3 linked regions of the Caenorhabditis elegans genome follow. The protein of the gene in region 2 interacts with the protein of the main gene of each other region in a pairwise test. Each region holds a gene or a part of one and is shown on either strand. Other genes may lie near its edges. The genes, in order: abu-10, crmb-1 and crim-1.

The links.
Region 1: the proteins of crmb-1 (region 2) and abu-10 interact in a two-hybrid assay, tested with the Caenorhabditis elegans proteins (2 studies listed by BioGRID).
Region 3: the proteins of crmb-1 (region 2) and crim-1 interact in a two-hybrid assay, tested with the Caenorhabditis elegans proteins (2 studies listed by BioGRID).

What each region holds. Positions count from the first base shown.
Region 1 is NC_003284.9:3,796,316-3,800,071, forward strand, and holds abu-10 (Activated in Blocked Unfolded protein response), read left to right. Parts: upstream 1-1,866; 5' UTR 1,867-1,907; coding exon 1,908-1,949; intron 1,950-2,006; coding exon 2,007-2,348; intron 2,349-2,397; coding exon 2,398-2,574; intron 2,575-2,619; coding exon 2,620-2,706; intron 2,707-2,748; coding exon 2,749-2,838; intron 2,839-2,882; coding exon 2,883-2,996; intron 2,997-3,051; coding exon 3,052-3,327; 3' UTR 3,328-3,426; downstream 3,427-3,756.
Region 2 is NC_003282.8:267,327-271,082, reverse strand, and holds the start of crmb-1 (Serine/threonine-protein kinase), read right to left. Parts: upstream 1,677-3,756; coding exon 1,645-1,676; intron 1,598-1,644; coding exon 915-1,597; intron 495-914; coding exon 387-494; intron 341-386; coding exon 257-340; intron 207-256; coding exon 1-206. Other genes in the region: T21D12.12 (BPTI/Kunitz inhibitor domain-containing protein), read right to left, coding at 2,812-2,923, 2,981-3,044, 3,219-3,332, 3,377-3,467.
Region 3 is NC_003283.11:10,330,489-10,334,244, forward strand, and holds the start of crim-1 (Cysteine-rich motor neuron 1 protein-like), read right to left. Parts: upstream 1,625-3,756; 5' UTR 1,557-1,624; coding exon 1,398-1,556; intron 700-1,397; coding exon 591-699; intron 349-590; exon of another isoform or gene 209-348; intron 1-208.

The sequences.
Region 1 (3,756 bases), on a different chromosome or scaffold from region 2:
TACACGCACTAGTGGACAAAAATGAAGACTACAGCAAACTTCAGTCATTTTTTTTTTATTTTTGAAAACATTTTGAAAAATTTCAAAAAGTTTCTTACAAAATCTTTTCATCTTGTGAAAAGGCTTGCAGCTACACCGTAGATCCATATTTAAAAATAACAGAAGGTTTTGTTTTATAGAGAAACCATTCACAATAAATACTAATACCTTGATGTTAATTATGAAAAAGTCAGAACTCCATGTTTCTTACGTGAAAAAAAACACTGAAAAAAACATTGTTGACCATTTTCAGAAAATAAAATTTAATGGAAACATACTTTTAGTGAATGAGTATTTAATGTAAAACTAGATCACCCTCCCCCCCCCCCCCTCCCAGCAAACTTTTGAGCTCATCCCAATGGTCTGAAAACACGCATAATTCGAAAACGTTCCTCATCACATCAAACGAACATATATTTCAAGTACATGCGTTTTTGCGGGCACACTGATAAAACAGAGCCGGCACAGAGTGCTCACGTACCGGTTCTCGTACGTTGCTCAACTCTCCTGTAACATGACCACCCCTGAGCTTTTAATCCGATTCCGGCGCAACTTTTTGTGCTGCTTTCCTTCATCCTCAGACACAAACATTGCAACCTTTTATCCAGCCGGCAATCGAACTCAACTCAACCCCTCAACCGGTATCTAAAGTAAAGGCAAGCGGTCTGAGTAATGAAGAATGTGATAATTGGGGTTCTTTGTATTTGTTTGTTGGGAGGGAGAAGAATCAACGAGAGATTGTGCAAATGCAACAGCTGAAAGCGTTAACCAGTTTCTCAGCTTGTATTCTTCTATGACGCGGTCTCTATTTACGGACTATTTGCAAATAACGCATCACTTGAACTTTTCAATGCAAGTGTTCGGAGATTGAAAGTTCTGTGTCACTACATTCACGTATTGTTGAAAACTATAACGGATATATTACAAGACGGTCTAGACAAAAATTGGGAAAAAAAGCTCTACTGAAAATGGGATATTAAACTACTACCTTTCAGAAATACTTTCAGAACAATATTACTTGATACAAAAGAAAGATCTTCAAAATAGCTTGCTGGTACTCCAACTAAAAAGATATAATAATCAATTTTTTTTTTACAAATCGGTGCAAAATAGTCGTTCGTTTACTAGTCATGCTTTGAAAAAATTTAAGCTTAACAATGCAACCTAACCTCGATTTTTTTCAAATTAAATTACAATTTCAAATGAGAATAAAGAGAACCTTCTACAACTTGAACATTCTGTGAACTATTGGAAAACACTGGACATTGAATGAAACAAAATTTTTAAACATTCACATTTGCGACGTTGGGCCGTTATTTATTGTCTCGAAAGAGGAAAAAAATGTCTGACAAATTGGAAAAGTACAGTAGATTCAACTGTCACACTTTTTTGTAAAGTAGGGCCTAAAATTAGTAGACTCGAGTTTTGAATTGGTGAGCCAATATCTCTCTTGACACAATTGAAGTGTTTTTAAACTGGTTAGAAGACTAGACTGAAATATATTATAGCTAACATCACTTTGGATAGTATGCGTCTTCGGCAAAATTTCATGTGCGCAAGAAGCCAAAAACAAACAATGTTTATTTGTGTGCACGCATTTTTTCAGCACACGGTTTTCATTTTCTCTGACTAAACTTTTTTCCCCCTCCTTACCATATTCCCACAGGTGCTCTAATCCGATCATAACTACTCATCTGTGTTTGATGCACAATTGAAACTGCCTTCGTTCTTTTTTGTCGCCTGTTCTTGCGCATGCCGGTCTTACCCTCTTGCCATGACTCCTCCCGGCGGGCGCGTATAAATATGAGGAGCAAAAGTTGAGTTGTCAGTAGTAGCTTGGCTTCGAATACTCTCTAACAAAAGCAGCAATGTTCCGCTCTGCATTTTCAATTTTTGCTATTGTCGCCCTGGTGAGATTTCTTTTTTTTTTCATTCCATTTTATTTATAAATTCCCCGCCATTTTCAGGCACTTTCGGCACCAACTCTTAGAGAAAAGCGTCAGGCTTGCTCATGCGCCCCAGTTCAGCAGCAACCATCGTGCTGCCAACAATCCACCATCAATGTCCAGGTTCAGTACACTCAGGTCCAACAAGCTCCAGCTCAAGACCCATGTGCTTGCCAGCCACAGCAGCAGCAGCCTGCGTGCAACTGTGCTCCAGTTCAGCAAGATCCATGTGCTTGCCAGCCACAACAGCAGCAGCCGGCTTGTAACTGTGCTCCAGTTCAACAAGATCCATGCGCCTGCCAGCAACAGCAACCATCCTGCGATTGCGCTCCAGTTCAACAGCAACCAGCCTGTGACTGCCAGGTAGGCTGTTAATGTAAGAGCGACGAATAAAAGTAACCCATCTTTGCAGCCACAACAACAACCAGCCTGTGATTGTGCTCCAGTTGCTCAACAACCAGCTTGTGACTGCCAACAAAACCCATCATGTGTGACCTGCATCCAAATCGAGATCCGTCAGCAACAAGCTCAACAGCCAGCTTGCGATTGTGCTCCAGTTCAGCAGAACCCATGTTGCCAACAAGCTCAGGTACAATATATTTGGTAAATGTTGGATGAACTTTTGAAGTTTCAGCCAGCCTGTGATTGCGCTCCAGTCCAACAGCAACCATCTTGCGATTGCGCTCCAGTTCAACAGAACCCATGCTGCCAACAAGCTCAGGTATGGCATTTTGAACAATTTTTTTTAGTCCGGTAATTTCAGCCAGCCTGCGACTGTGCCCCAGTCCAACAGCAACCAGCCTGTGATTGTGCTCCAGTCCAGCAGAACCCATGCTGCCAACAACAGGCTCAGGTAAATCACACTCCAGAGTTTTCCATTAAGTTTGTGAATTACAGTCAACTTGCGACTGTGCCCCAGTTCAACAGAACCCGTGCTGCCAACAAGCTCAGCCAGCTTGTGATTGTGCCCCAGTTGTTCAGCAAAACCCATGCGCTTGCCAACAGGCTCAGGTAAAGACTATTGCTTTTTGACCAGTAAATTAACTATGGATATCTAAACTTCCAGCCATCCTGTGATTGCGCCCAACAAGCTCAGCCAACCTTCCAAGTCCAAGTTCAACAAGCGCAACCAATCAATCAGTGCGTCCCAGCTTGCCAGCCAGCTTGCCAGTCATCGTGCACCGCTTCGTACACCAACCAACAATCCCAACATTCGTCAGCTACTACTTCCTGCGATGCTAACCAATGCGTATGCCAACGCGGATACGTCAAGTGCGCCGAGCAGACCTGCTGTCTTAGATACAGATACACCAACCGCAAGGCAAAGCGATCGATCGCCTAAACGAACTCATTTCTGACCATGTCTTTCTTTTTCGACTTCACGCAAACTATTTGTACATTTCGGTAATATTATTGCCATTACATAAAGTAGTTTTATATTATTTCCTTTTACACAATGAGTATATGCAATGAAGATATAAATGAAAAAATGATTAAGAATCATTTCTATGATGTTCAAATTACCAATTTTCGTCTAAATTACAACAAAATCACTGAAAAAGATTTGAGAAAAATGCAATTTTCTTTTAGGAAACTCTATTTGAAGTTTGAAAACCAGAAGATTTTCACAAAGGGTTGGTTCTATCATTATCTAAAACAGCAATCGTAGAAGAGATTTGAGAGTTTTCTTCAAAACTAAACTTTTTATATTGTGTTCAATATTGTTAACGAATTTTTGATCTTTAAATTTCCCATTTATTTTAAATCTAAA
Region 2 (3,756 bases):
TGTTGATATATCAGTGGTTGAAGTTTCCAATGACGTTGTATTCATTTCGTAGGTTGTTGTAGAAGTTGGAAGTGATTCTGTCGTGGGGCTTGGTGGTTGTGTTGTTGTGTGACATCTTTGTTTTCTTGAACAACGCCGCCTTCGATGACATTCTACATATCTAGGAAGGCAGCTAGATCTGATGCATTCCAACATGCACTTCTTCCCTCCAAATTTACAACATGGAAGATGAGCACATCTATGAAAAGCACCGCACCTTCTATTTCTTCTGCATCTATCGAATAGACACAACGTATTTTCTTCTGAGGAATTTTCGGAAGATCCACAGTTTGAACGGCATCTAAATTTATTATGCCGTCGGTTTTCACATGGTCTTCTTTGTTCACCACTTAAAGACGATTCATCAGATGATTCAGCTTTCGAATTACGTAGAATCCTCCAACTCGGAGGTAAAACTCGCCGAGCATGATGTCCGTCCACTCCAATGAAGTCAACTGAAACATAACATTTTAAAGCGTTATTAACAGGGGAAGTTAATGATAACAGTATGAACGGGAAAACTTTTTATAAGTTACATATCTGAAACTCTTTCAAGTGAGAGAATTCAGTAGTGTCGTTGGAAATTTTTGTGGATAGGAAATGGTTCCCAGTGACAATTTTAAGTGTTGAAGTTTTTAAATTTGGTTAACAGGGATACTTTACCCATTCAACAAAAAACGCTATCAGAAAAATTATGATGATTTTTATAGTCTCTAAAAATTAGTGTACTGAAAAATAGTAATGCAACAACAGGAGTTAGTATTTAAGAGAGAGAGAGAGAAAGAGAGAGGTGGAGTAACAAATGGAAAATATTCTGCAATCGAAACATTTTTTTCAAATGTTAAAAATTACTCCTAAAGTTGATTTTTACTTACATTGGAAATAAGTGTTTTCATCACTTTGCGCATCGTTTACTTCTTCGGACGAAGAAGAATCTCGGTGTGACTCTGGTCGATTGGAGCAGTAGCAAGGATCACACAACCGACGGTGATGACTATATGGACAACATGGACGGCAGCAATGAATTCTTGGTGAGTCAGCTCCCGGTCCACTTCCACCTCCACTTCCGGAACCACCTCCAGAGCTTCCATTATTACCATAAACGGTCAAATAATTATTAACCACGTTATTATTACTATTATTATTGTTCGATCCTGACATACTATGACTAGAACTTGACAAATTATTAGTGTTAGAGTTGATCAGACTACTGTTTAAACCTATGTTTTGAATTGAACTAGCTGCCGAGCTGGAGTTGGATGTGCTACCCACTGATCCGTTTCCAGGCGTTAACCCAGCTCCTACACTAGAACTTGAAGAATTTAGGGAAACGCTTTGATTTTGACTAATAGAAAGGTTATTATTCAAATGTGAACTATAATTTCCATAGTTTCCAGAAGCCCCTAAAAATCCTAGGCCGACTGTAAAATTATCACTATTATTATTTTGATTAACATATTCGATTTGGTTAGAAACGGAGTTGTTATTCAAATTTTCGCTAAGACTGGTGCTGGAGCCATTGGAAGATGATGGTGAATCTGGAGATGGAGGTTGCGTTCTTTAGGAATATATATATTATTTTAAGGCAACAATAATGAAACTTACATAATAGGAGTGTCTGCTGGATAAGTTGTCATGCATGAATTTGAGAAAGGTATTATCAATATTGTTGGCAAAATAAGAAGACGAAGCATTTTGAAATTGACAGAAACTCCTAAAACAGCATTATCAAAAATTACTATAGAACAAAATTGAGTATTTTACAAACTTTGTCTAAAGGAAAGAAAACATCTTGAAAGTTCAATTCTGATTGTTTAGATTGTCTTGTAGGCGTTAATTTCACACAATTGTAGCTTCAACTGAATCATTTTCCACGGATGTGTCTTGATTCCACTTTCATGAGAAGTTGTAAACTGCTTCGATGCGCGTGCACTTCCATCTTCCTCTGCTGCAAATTGGCCTCGAGCGGAACTTTTTGAAACCGTTTTATTTTTATGATCGAATAACGCAAGAAGCAAACATTTTGGATGATCAGAAAACAATGAATGAAGCATTGAAACAAGGAATGAATTAAACTACATAAATGTTTTCAATAGCGTTTGATACTTTGAGTTTTTGGTTTTAAAAGATTTTAAGAACATTAAACAAGGCATTTGTTCAAAACATGCAAACATTGAAAACTGAGCATTTTTGTTTTACACAAATTCTTCTTAATCCGAATGTATTAAAAGATTTTGCAACGAAAATTTGAACTCTTTTCAATTTCACAAGTTTTTAGAAAAGCTATTTCGGCAGACATCTGAAGGGTGCGCTCGAATGTAAGTAACAAAATAAAAAATGATTTTTAAAAAAACTGCGAAAACAATACATTCAATTACAGTGCTGGCCGAAAAGATATCCACTTTTAGTTTTTTGATAATTTCACTAATTTTTCAAATAAGTATAACTATAAAACTAGAAATGCTACCGAAAAATTTTCAATTAACGTAATATAGTACATGACTATGTTTATTCGTACTTATATGTATTGATTATCCACTAAAATCGTGGCAAGAAGTTATTATGATATTCCAGTTTCTCTGTTCCGTGATATTACTGTAAATAATATCTATTTTGAACTAGTATTAAGATATTTAAACACGTCTTTACTTGATTTTTTGGTAATTTTTATCAACTTGCATGATTCATTTATATAGGTCTTTGTGCAAAATAAATTGTTTTCGTTTGAAATATTTATATACATTAAGAAAACTACTGTTATTTGCTAAAATGTTACATGCAAAAGTTTTTGCATTCGTTGTACGTAGCAAAGTTGTTAGCATTTCCATCGCGGCCATAGAAAGTGAACAGCATGCAGTTCTTGTAGGACTTTGAGAAGAAATATCTGAAATTTAATTTATTGAATCCGTGAAAGTACAATAAAAATTAGTTGAATTCTTACCTGGGTGTATGTTTTCCACTAGATCCGAATTTTCCAGCGTCGTACTGCAAACTACATGTGTTTTCTGCAAATTTCTTCGATCTTTTGTTGTGCTTCTTTCACATTTGAATAAATATTTACACATCGAAACAGAGTTTTTAGTTCTAAAACACCAGTGTTCAGACAAAGTACAAACCGCTTTAAACTTGTGTTTTAAAGATCACTATAACTTTTCAAAATCTCTTCAGAAAATAGTAACCTTTTGTTGGACAGCATTGTTGATTTTGACACTCGTAACCATGTGGGCAATTCGAACATCCAACAGTCTGACCAGAAGTGGCTCCAGCTGGGTATGCTCCAGATGGACATACAGCTGAAAAACTATTATACACCTTTGTCATCCATTGTTCAACTAACCGTAAGCTAAATCGTCAGAAGCAGTCGCGTTCCGGCAAGCTGATTCACAAGCCTCTTTCGATTGGAATCGATTGGAGTTGCCGTCGCATCCCTAAAATTGTTTTATTCATTTTAATTGAACGTTTTTCCAAGAAGTATACTATTCTGTTAAATTCAACGAGAAATTTCCGTTTGTGAGAAGATAAGGTATATTCCTAGCATCAGCTCAAGCACAAGCTAAGAATATACCGTAAGTATGGCCCTTAGCCTGGGCATAAGCCTAACCTTAGCCTATGACAAAACCTAAGCCTAACTAGGGAACCATCAGAAGGTGCCCATCAGACTTGCATATGAAACCTATGCCATTCGATAGCCCATGTCTTAAAACGGTTACTCGTGAA
Region 3 (3,756 bases), on a different chromosome or scaffold from region 2:
TAGATCTTGAAAGAAATTGATAAAAACAATTTATTTTTGAACAATCTAAGTATTTTTTAACAACATTCAAGTTTTGGTATGCTCAGAATCCTTGCAATATTTCAATTACTTGATATCCCCATTGCCTACATTGTCCGATTTTTTATCCACAACAAGATCGTTTCAATTCTCAAGTTAGTCCAACCCATTTTCTACCTTTGCAAGCCGCCCTATCTGCGGACACAACATAGAGGACTTTTTGGTTAAAAAACTGCGGGCAGAGTGAAGTAAAGTAAATAGAAATTGTATATTCGGGAGAGCAGGGTGGATTGCGTCGTCCGGCGAGCACACACGAGAAGCCTCAGCACAAGAGAACCGCCACCATTTTGAGAAGTCATTTTTTATAGGAAGAGAAAATGAAAGAGAGAGAGAGATAGAGAGACTGAGAAGAAACCCTATCAAATTTCAGCAATAAAATAAGCCCAATAGTAACTCTAGAGCACCCTTTTCTTTTTAATTAGGAAGCATTCTGGACCTCGAAAAAACAACCAAAGTTCTTTCAAATCGAATGAAACATGCAAAGGGACTTTGAAATATTGAAGAAAATATACCTTTACATCGACTTGAACCATCAAGATCGTTTTCCTGATGACATGAAAGATGCGAATCACAAACAAGACCAGGCCCGTCGCAAGTTTCACCGATTTGTCGAATGCAGACCTGCAAGTATAACTTTTTGTTTATTGTTTGAAAGCCGTTAAAAAAGACCGCACATACTTTTTTATAGACTTTTGACTTATGTTTAAGTTTATTCAGTGTATTTCTTTTTGTAGAAACAAAATTATAACTAAAACCGCGGTTTAAAAACCGAAAGTAAGATTTAAGGGACAGTTATTATCATTTGAAACTTAGAAAGTTGAACCACTTTCAAAGCAATTAGGATTATTTTTAATGTACCGTGTTTCCTCTATTAGTAAAAAAAGTACTAATTATCGGGAACCTATCTATGTGCAATTTCATTATAGGAATAAGAGGAATAAGAGCTCTAAGAGGATACACGGTATCTGAATTATGCGTTTCTATCAAACGGTTCTTCGTTTTGGTACTGATTTGACTGTGTAGCATAATACATTAAAGCTCATCTTTATTCAGTTGTTTCACTGAGCATTTGATCCTTTCATTTGTTCATTTGATCATTGTCCAATAATAATTAAGTTATTGGGGATTTATGATAATAGTTAGAATTTTAGTCATGAGAAATTGTGGAAAATTATTTCAAAAGCTCACATTCAATGTTCTGGAATTTTAAAAAGAAAATTAAAACTGAGGAACTAGAATATTAAAATTAATTTTAAAAATAAGTTTTAAAGAATTGTTAAACCATAGTTCGTTTTCTATCAAAATTTTAAATTACTCACTTCGCAGCAATCGCACTGATCCTTTTTCAATTGCTCGCATCCTGAAACATCTGGACATGAATCCTTGTCACATGTCCCGCACAATGTGGTCTTTTGGTTTTTTGCATTGGAAATGATAAGAAATGTGAAGAGTAAAATAATACTACTTGACCACTGCATTTCAACAATTCTGCATAACCGTTTTTGCCGTTCAGCGGAGAAGCCGCGTGATGAACGGCCCACAAGCTCTGCAAAGAAAAATATGAAAATTGTAGTCATGTATATAAATTTTTTGTCGATTTTTTTGGGACCATGTAACTAAGATTTCAATTCAAATGAAAAAGTAAGTAAAACGAGAAACAGAGAGACCGTCTCGTAGTGTCCCAATTTGAAATGAACTGTGTCTGTGCAGGCCCCGCCTTTGAAAATCGAACTGCGCGGGATCTTCACGACGGTAAAGCACAAGAATCAGAGAGGTTATAGACAACGAAAGTGATCCGAGTCGATCGGTGAAGAAGCTGCACTGTCAAAGAGAAAGAACACAAGCGAGCAAGCAGGGAGACGAAAAAAGGTCTGTTGACATTGGGCGAAAGACAAAATGATGAAGGTGCGCGGAGACAGAAAGATGGTAGCAGAAGCTCGTAGTATACCGAACTGGCGCCCGATGGATTAGAACACTTTGTTTTGCAATTCAATAGAAAGAAACAACAACATAATTAAGAAGAAACACTCAGTTCATTTGACAAAGGAGACCTAGTTCCGTGTTATAACATTGATAATGACTTTCATCAAAGATTCTAAGTTTATTCATGTTTACTTTAGAAACTAGAACCAGATCAAACAAAAAAAAATAGGTGGATGTTCCTATGCTACCTACTCAAAAGAACAGTTTTTACTTAACTATTTGTTTTATTCCACAGTTTTTCAAGAGAAGAGAAGTTATCTAGTTTTCAAAAATAACAAGTGATTTTATTACTGATAAAACTATTACGTCTCGTGCAAAATGTTCATTTGAAGAATTCAACTTTCAAATGATTCCGGAATTATCTTCAACGTTCACTAAAGAATTTACCGTTTGAAATGCAGAAAAAAAGAATATTGAGGAGCAGGAAACCTGGAATATTTGAAATCTGGAGAAAATGAAACCCTGAAAAACACACAGAAAACTGGTCGCTAAGCGTGTCAACCTTACAAAAAGATTACGGTACTTTCCCTATTAGCCTTGTACATTTAATGCTCTATCTTGGCAGCTCATATTTGGTTATCCTTGGTATTATCACAAATTTTGTCAATACTAAAATATCAAAAAGTAATTGGCACCAAATTTATGTGCTACATTTTTAAGCCGAAGAAAACCTAGAAATAGTTTCTTAAAGTATATCAATAAGGGTAGTGCTATATTTTGTGGTATTCTATTGAGAAGTTTCCAATTAATTAGGAAGACATGCCAATCAGCCGAATGATCGAAGAGCATTCAAATCGTATTAAATTTGAAATAATACTTCTTTAACTTTAAAAAAGTACACAATGTTCCACAAAAAACGATTCTTATGAAAACTCAATAAAAATCGCCTGGTTTAGGCCATAGTAAATTTTTTATGTGTTCAAAATGCTCTTATCAACTTGAGTGAACGAGGACAAGAAAATAGACAAAAAACGAGTCGATGAGAGATGGAAAAGGAAACATTGAAACCATTTAGATTATGCGGGTCTAGACGGGAAAAGGTAAAAAAACGTCTCATGGAGGTCTCATTGAAATACATGCTGCCTCAAATAAGAAACCGGTAAGGAACGGTGTGATAAAAGATAGAAAATGAGATGAATGTATGGTAAAGAAGGAGAGGTGTTTTGTTATTAGTGAGGGTGTAAAAATATTAGAAGAGGAATTTCAGAGATAGAGGAGAAAGAGTGGAACGGAATGCCTTTTCAGCAAAAATTCCCTTTCTTCTCTTGTAGCTCGGTAATTTTTTATCACAAACACTTCATCGACGTCTTTCACTAAAAAAAGAAAAAAAGAAAACAGTTTGAAACTATCGAGAAAGGATGATGATCGAGAGGATGATTGGCGTGAAGGTGAGAAGATTGATTACAGTGTATATTGGCGTCGAAATGTCTCTTCGGTATATTTCTCCTTTTGCCTTCGAAAGGAAAAAATGACAAGAGGTTAGAAAATGGAATGTGTTTGACTCATTTTCATGGTTATCAGTAGAATGTCGATCAGCTGCGGGTGCTCGAAGAGCAAGCATCATCGGTAGCCAAAAAGTGACGAGAAATTGGAATGATGGACAGGAAACGGAAGGGCAAGAAAATATTTATGGAACAATAAAATGAAGTTTATGTCGAAATTGAAAAGTTTTGAAATTTGAAATATATTTTCTAG